2 linked regions of the Xenopus tropicalis genome follow. The protein of the gene in region 2 purifies or fractionates together with the protein of the main gene of each other region. This does not show direct contact. Links are inferred from orthologs where the notes say so. Each region holds a gene or a part of one and is shown on either strand. Other genes may lie near its edges.

Region 1 (3,821 bases), on a different chromosome or scaffold from region 2:
ATTGTTGGTAGATTTATTTGAAACATTCTTAGTAAAGGGTATCAGTGTGTTTTGAACAAAAATGAATCCGCAAATAATGTATATCCTAATATATGACATGGTTTTTACATATCAATAGATCTTACATTTATTTTGCAGGAATTCATAATACCTCCATAAACTAAAAGTTTAGCCATTATTTCAGGTTAGGTTGTACTCTATACCTCCATAAAATATAGCCGCAGTCTTCTTTAGAGCCCGTTATTAAGCGTGGGTGTAGAGGTGGATCTATATATAAAAAAATTTTGTTGAGGAAGGTAATTGCTCAGTAAATCACAATTTTGAAAACTGCTGAATCCCCGGCATGTGTTAGTGTTACGCATGTAATTAACTGCTGATTGTTAAGCGGTGACGTACGTACAAGGAAAAGAGACATTTTGACATTTTGCTTTGAAGGCTATATATTTAAACAAATGTGATGCTCTTTATCAGTGAGAACAGGCGCTGGTGACTCCTCGCTAATCAATTAGCTTTCATTTGAGTGCATTCTCTTTAGTTAGTTGTAAAGTTTTAGCTGCATTGAATAACTGACAGTAAAGGCTTTACTGTGTAATAAAGGGAACGTGCTATGATGAATTATTCTACACTTCTGCACCAGACACAATAGAAGTAGCAGGTAGCAGGAGTCCTTAAACCTAGTCTTTATATCAAATAGGTTTCCAACATTCAGGGCCTGTTTTGGCTAATGCCGATTGTTGCTGATATGAAGTGTTAAGGTTCTGTTGTGTCTGCTACCCATTTCTGGCACAATTTAACTGGCCACATCCCCTATTAAGTCATTGCACCTACTCTGCAGTTGGGCAATGTCCCCATCTCATTTCCCATAATGGGAATCTAAACACAATAGGAGCCCTGTGAGCTTGTGGCCAGTTGCTGCATAGCTAACGATACAAGCTAGAACAGTAACTTCTTTGGAGATGCTTGCGGGAATAAAGCAGACTGCAGTCATCTAAAGCTGGCCATACACGCACTGATAATTTTGTACAAAACCTCGTTTTGTACGGTATTCGGTGCGTGTATGGCAAGTTTGGGAGGCGACAGATATTGCAGAAGGCTACTGATATCGGTCGACTTGTCGATCGGGTGGGTTAAAAGATTTTGATCGGGGGCCATTGAAGGCGCCTGAGCAAAATCTGCCTTTTTAGGCTGAATCGACAGAAGGAGGTAGAAATCCTATTGTTTCTACCTCCAAATCTGACGATTCAGCCCTGAATGACCAATGGTTGCACGAAAGATCGAAAATCGCCAGCTTAACCGTTTCTGTCCCATTTAATCTTGCCATTCAGTGTGATGCCAGTAAGCATGAACCCAGAACAATAGATTCTATGTTACTGTTATGATGGCCCTTTTTTGCTGCCACTGTAGGTTCTGTGATATGTTGCATATGGAAGGGGAGTGTAATCCAGGATCGTGCACAGAAAATGAATAGATAATATAGAATGTGTGGAAAAGGACTGGTTGGTTTGTTTCGTTCTGGTTCTTGGTGTAATGCTGTGCCTTTTGTGGTAGGAGAGAACAGGGCATAACGATGGCTGCTTATAGAACCGTGTATAGTGCAATGTATCCTACTGGCCTGCAGCACTGGAAACTGTACAGGCCAGTGCAAACCCGCAGTGCTGTTCTTCACATAGAGATATGTTTCTAGTCTATATTAAATAATACCAATAAAAAAACTTGTAAATGGCAGTTCTTACTTTAATTTGAAAATGATCTTTATATCAGATCAAAGGAACTTGGGAATGTCAATGAGAGTAGAGCGGTCAACACTCGATCAAGTCAAGAAGAGATTTGAAGTTAATAAGAAGAAAATGGAAGAAAAGCAAAAGGACTACGACTTTGAAGAGCGAATGAAAGAGCTTCGGGAAGAGGTATGACTCTTTAGCCTGGAATTCCAGAAGCAGGTCTTAATTAGAAGCATCAGAGCGCAGATGCAATCAGTGACACTGAGAGTAAAGAAGCCCTTGTGCTGCTGGCCTAATCCTCTTACAGTATTCTGCAGGCAACAAAAATGGGTGCTCTTTACACACCCAGTGCTCTATGTAAAATGAAGATTGCATTTTCAACTATTTTCATGTTGGACTTTTCTAATTTTTAAAGGAGACATATTGCATCATACTCATTTTTTGGTAATATATTCCCCTTTCTCTAAAATGTATAGTGCTTCTATAAAAGAAGGTTTTAAAAACATTTTACCTGTTAAAAATGTAATTATACTAAAGCTGCAGAGAGATCCTTTCTCCTCTGCTGTCTAAGCTGAAATGAGGACTGGGCGTGTCCTCTCATGCTGCCTCAGGAAGTGATCATACTTCTGAGTGACAGTCAGAAAGTCCTGCCCCTGTATTAGTTTTGCTTCACTGACCGTTAGGACGGGCCTTTTTTTCAATGAGAATAACACGAAAGCATGAAAGTTGGATGGCACTCCAGCTGGTAAATAATAACTTTCTTTATAGGAAAGAGGTTTATTCATGGGGGCCTGCTGGAGGGCCCTTTATATCACAGCTGATGGCAATAAATTGTGCATAAAACTCCCTGCAAACTATTAACCTTTTTTTTTTACATAAATAAAGGAAGTTTGTCCTCCTGCCTGCATCCCCCTCAGCTGATTGTGTCCTCCTTTCCCTGACAGCCGTTTTGTCCTTCTCCCCCCCCCCAGAGTCTTTCTGTTTTGCTTCCCCCCGAGAGCCTCCTTCTCCTCCCCCCCCCCCCCCCCGAGAGCCACCCTGTCTGCTTCCCCTGAGAGCCGTTCGTAACTTTTGACAGCTGCCCCTGCGCTTCTTATAAGGGACGTTCGGCTCTGTGCTTCTTTATCTGAAAGGAGCACAGAGCCGAACGTTCCTTATAAGAAGCGCAGGGGCAGCTGTCAAAAGTTACGAACGGCTCTCAGGGGAAGCAGACAGGGTGGCTCTCACGGGGGAGAAGGGTGGAACGGCTCGCAGGGTGGAGGGGGGGGAAGGATGGAATGTCTCTCAGGGGGGAGCAGGGTACGGCACAGCGGTGGGCAGGTAGCTGGCAGGTGGCTGATTAACGGTGCAGATCTATGTGCAAGTACGTGGTGATTGCAAACGGCCAAACTGACGTCACTAGAAGCACCTCCCTCCCTTCACAGTCAAAGCCCTCAGTAATGAAGCTGTGAGAGCCGGCGGCTCTTTAGCAAACTATACAGAGTCTTAAACCGGAAGTCCAGGATAGGAGCATAACAAGAGCAGTTTTTGGCCAATTTCATGAAATTTCACTTGAAATGTACCCAAAAAAAGCCAATTCCTTCTATTTTACATTAAAAAACATCCATTAAAGCACTCTGAAAAATGATGGTATATGTCCCCTTTAAATATACTTCAATACATAATAAGACAAACTTCCCTTTTAAATGAGTACTTTCACTCAGGGCAGGTTTCAAGGCAGAGCAGGATGGACATTTATCTTGCCTATTGGTCACCCAAAATGAATGTAGATAGAAGTACAAAGGGGAAGTTTTATTGTTAAAGCTAACATTATTCAAAGTGTATTCACCCCTGCCATAGAAATGCATGTGGGCACCTATATGGATTGCTGGCTCTTTACAGGGGTGGTTCATCTTTAAGGTATCTCCTAGTAACTTTGCAATTGAGCGTCAATTATTTTTTTTTTCACATGGTTTTAATTATTTGCTTTTCTCTTCTGCCTCTTTTCAGCTTTCAAATGGCAGTCACTGACCCCATCAGCTTAAAAACTATTCCTCTGTGAGGCTACAGTTTTAGTGTTACTGTTTCTTACTTATCTTCCTAGTCAGGCCCTGTCCTAAT
Region 2 (3,921 bases):
GCTATTTGTTCAGAAGGTCTTCAGTTTGGAATTTCAGCAGCTATGTGGCTGCTGGGGTCTTGTTTACCTTGGCAACCAGTCAGTGGTTTGATGAGACACTGGAATATGTGATGGAGAGGTAATGAATAGAAAGGAATAAAAATAGGTTTTGGCTGCTGGGGTCAGTGACCCCCATTAGAAAGCTGTTGAAAGATACAGAAGAGAAATGCTAGGAGATGTAGAAGAGTTGCTAGGAAAAGGACATTCTATAACATACTAAAGGGTAACTTAAAGGTGAGCCACCCCTTTAAAACTGTGCAGAACTGTGCTTGGTACATAGGAATAGCTATGGTGGTTATTGATGGTCCTTACAGGACTTTAGGTGCAATGTGACTTTAGGACCGGCTGTTCAGGCATTTAATCTTGGAATAGACAAAACATTGAGATGGTACCTAAAGTCAAGGGGGCTTGTGTTTCAGAGGAGGTGGGGATAATATATACTGTGCCTTACTGATTGTCACTAATTCTTCTCCTCAGGCCTTTGGTCAGTCATTTCTTCAGCCAGACATACACATATTCAGGCAAAATCTCAGCTACCTGGAAACCCTCAACAGCAAACATAAACTGTACCATAAGGTAAGACCCATAATAACCTGATTGTTACACAAGATGTCAGTCTGTAAGCCTAGGTCTGTAAAATTGTACAGTATCATAACCAACGGATCTGGATCTTGGTCAAAATGTTAACAATGGTCCCAAACAGCCCCCACCAACCCAATAAATAGTAACTGTGTATGGCATCTTACAGCAGCCCCTCTGGCATTTGCCAGAACCCACAGATTGCCAGTCAGGGCCTAGTCAGAGTGATAGTGAGATGCTGGGTAATTAATTTTCATGAGCTTGTGAGCTTATGGTCTAGTCTACAGGATATATTCTTTCTCACAGTTTGCAACTCCACAAATCCCCTGTTCTCCTTTTGTGCTCTAATTCTCCATCCTTTCCTTAATTATTTTTTTAGAAACTGTTCCAGACTGTGATGCTGCCTCAGTTCGTCAGTGTTTTGCTGCAGGTTCTAATCCACAAGTCCCATGACCTCCTGCAGGAAGAGATTGGCATTGCCGTCTATAACATGGCATCGGTGGATTTTAGCACTTTCTTCTCTGCTTTCCTGCCAGAGTTTCTTACAGGCTGCCAAGGCCTGGACACCAGCCAAAAAGGCGTCCTCGCTCGCAACTTCAAAATGGAACGGGTGAGATGAACGTTTTATCATAGCATGCTTTATAGAGAGAGCTTTGAAATCCAAGCCTTAATAATGTACTCAAATCTTAGAATGTATTATGATGGCAGCTATGGCTTTGTATGGAGATTACTGAACCCTTTCTGCTACATTTAAGATGTAATAGCAGTGCCAAGCCCTTCAGAATCCCCTGGGCCGTCTTGGTGCACAAGCTGACTCTAGGGGAGACCCACCAGTCCTGATGCTATCCTAGAGGGCTTGCTAATTTTTACATTTCTCTCCAAATACAGCCATTTCCATACAAACAATATAGTAAATCTTCTGTTGAAAGGGAAGAGTTGTCTTCTGCTTTCTTTGAAGAGTTGAGTGTGCCCATCTAAAGTAGTAACCCAAGCTGCCCAGCCTTTTCAAGGCTTTTCTTTACATTGGCATCACCTCTAGCTTTTCTGTAGACCCAAGGACGGAGTATTTTCTTTCTAAAATATGTGAGGCAGCTTAGAGTTCTATGGTGCTTTCTTAGAACTTGACATGAGAAATCTGGAAATGAAGTTTGTCCTAGTGCAACTTGAATTGTCTTTTCCTTATGGGCAAGATCAGCCCACATCCCAAGCGGATGTTTGCAGATGGTAAGTACCTGCTTAACTAGAGAGAACTGTTTGTCTCCTTCAGACTAACTACTGGCTTAGGGATATTGGGAAGTTAGATTCACAAGGGATCAGGGGCCCTGGTCATTTTCTACTACCGTATATACTCGAGTATAAGCCGATCCGAATATAAGCAGAGGTACCTAATTTTACCTAAGAAAACTGGAAAAACTTAACTTGAGTATAAGCCTAGGGTGGGAAATGCAGCAGCTACTGCTAAGTTTCAATAATCAAGATAAATACCAGTAAAATTACATTAATTGAGGCATCAGTGGGGTATATGTTTTTAAATATTTATTTAAAAGAAAAACCGTAAACTAGCTCTGTAAGTGAAGAAGAGGGTCAACAAAAACAATGAGTACTATTCCACGCTCATTGCACATTGGCAAACTGGCAGCAGACCTGGTCCCGGAGGACATGTAAGGGGAAATAAGTATTGCGACTGGGAGTGGGCTAGGGCGCTGGAGGGTCTGGTTGCAGGGGGCCTAATTTGCACACAAAGGACAGAGGGTGCTGAAGGGAGTCTGGAGGGACCCATGGCACCCGACTCGAGTATAAGCAGAGGGTGACTTTTTCAGCACATTTTGGGTGCTGAAAAACTAGGCTTATACTCTAGTATATACAGTAATTTAATTAATTATTCCAAGTAGGGGTTGGTCAGCTCCATACAGAGCCATATGCTTTCTCTATAGATGTTTGTGCAAACAGGTCTTCTCTTTGTAAGGTGAACCTCCCCTTCCATTTCTCTCCTGACCCTTCTCTTCTCTCACCGTATGCAGGACCTGCCTTCGTTTACTCAGAGTGTCCACCGTTTAGTCAATGACCTCCGATACTACAGACTCTGCAACGACAGTCTCCCTCCTGGAACTGTAAAGCTGTGACCTCCCTCGCCCCTCGTTTTCCTGCCAATGGACAGACTTTATCCATCACGCTCTTCTCTCTCCACATTGATAGTCTTAACTCACCACTATACAGCTGTGAAACCCCCCCCTCACTCGCACCGATTTTATTGTAAGCGCGGGCAGTTTTAGTGCATCGTTGGACTTCAGTGCCTCTTTCTTGGCTCCCCCCGCTCTACCCCTAGGCTGCCAAATGGATCTCGTTCCTATGCCAGCTGAGGGTTAGGAAGGCTTCCATTTTTTGTTCTTTGAATATATATATATTTTTTAATTCATGCAAACGCTTCAACAAACCTTCAATATCATTCCCAGTTGTAGTGGAGAAGAAGGGTGGGGTCTGTATGTGACCCAAGTATGGACACTCGCGTGTCTTCGGCTTCTGGATTTTAACTGGCTGTACAGGCCAATTGCCACACACGGACGATATTATGTATTGTTTTATATTTTTTGTGTTTTTATCATTCCATTGTGAATCCGCGACATCTTTTCGCGAATAAAAAACCTTGCTTTGTTTAGAGCTGTGCTTGCCATATCATGCATCAGCCCCACCATGGGCAGTTAGTGGACCATCCAGATGTTGCCGAATATAAGCACTCCTCCAGGGCCTGCTAGATGTACATGCTTGTATTACTCGTTGTCCATCCTGACTTCATTGTGGGACTGGCTGGGAAATAATGGGGTGTTGCCAAATTGGCCCAGTTCTAATGCTCAGAGTGCACTGGATCTAGAGCAAGATATGTTTATAATTATGATGTTATTAAGTAAGAGGGGCACATAGACCAAATATAAAGGTAAACTTAAACCCAACATCATAATTATAAACATATCTTGCTGTAGATCCTGGAGAAGTTCCACTGCATCAGTGGTTAATGTCATGTGGGGCACTTGGCTGCCTCTGCCATCAGCCATCTACCTGCCACCAGGTGTTTTTTAACTTTTCCTGTGTTCCGCTGATGACTTTAATGGTGAAAATTACCCGTCTGACATTTGCCAGTGGGAAACCATCGTATTGATTCAAAATGTTAGACCAATGCTCAGTGTTGCTGGGGCTTCCACATCCCCCTAGTGCCCATACAGACCAGTTCTGGGAGACAGAACCTGGCAGGATGCACCAGTTCCATTGGAAACAGATTCTCATAGGGTTTCTACATTATGCAACAAA

The links.
Region 1: the proteins of xpo6 (region 2) and zmat2 purify together in Homo sapiens (co-immunoprecipitation; 3 studies listed by BioGRID and IntAct, with this or other methods). This does not show direct contact. The link is inferred for Xenopus tropicalis from reciprocal best matches to the Homo sapiens genes XPO6 and ZMAT2.

The regions. Positions count from the first base shown.
Region 1 is NC_030679.2:26,879,957-26,883,777, forward strand, and holds part of zmat2 (zinc finger matrin-type protein 2), read left to right. Parts: intron 1-1,761; coding exon 1,762-1,907; intron 1,908-3,821. UniProt on the Homo sapiens protein: Involved in pre-mRNA splicing as a component of the spliceosome.
Region 2 is NC_030685.2:21,036,174-21,040,094, forward strand, and holds the end of xpo6 (exportin-6), read left to right. Parts: intron 1-516; coding exon 517-615; intron 616-997; coding exon 998-1,228; intron 1,229-2,639; coding exon 2,640-2,741; 3' UTR 2,742-3,276; downstream 3,277-3,921. UniProt on the Homo sapiens protein: Mediates the nuclear export of actin and profilin-actin complexes in somatic cells.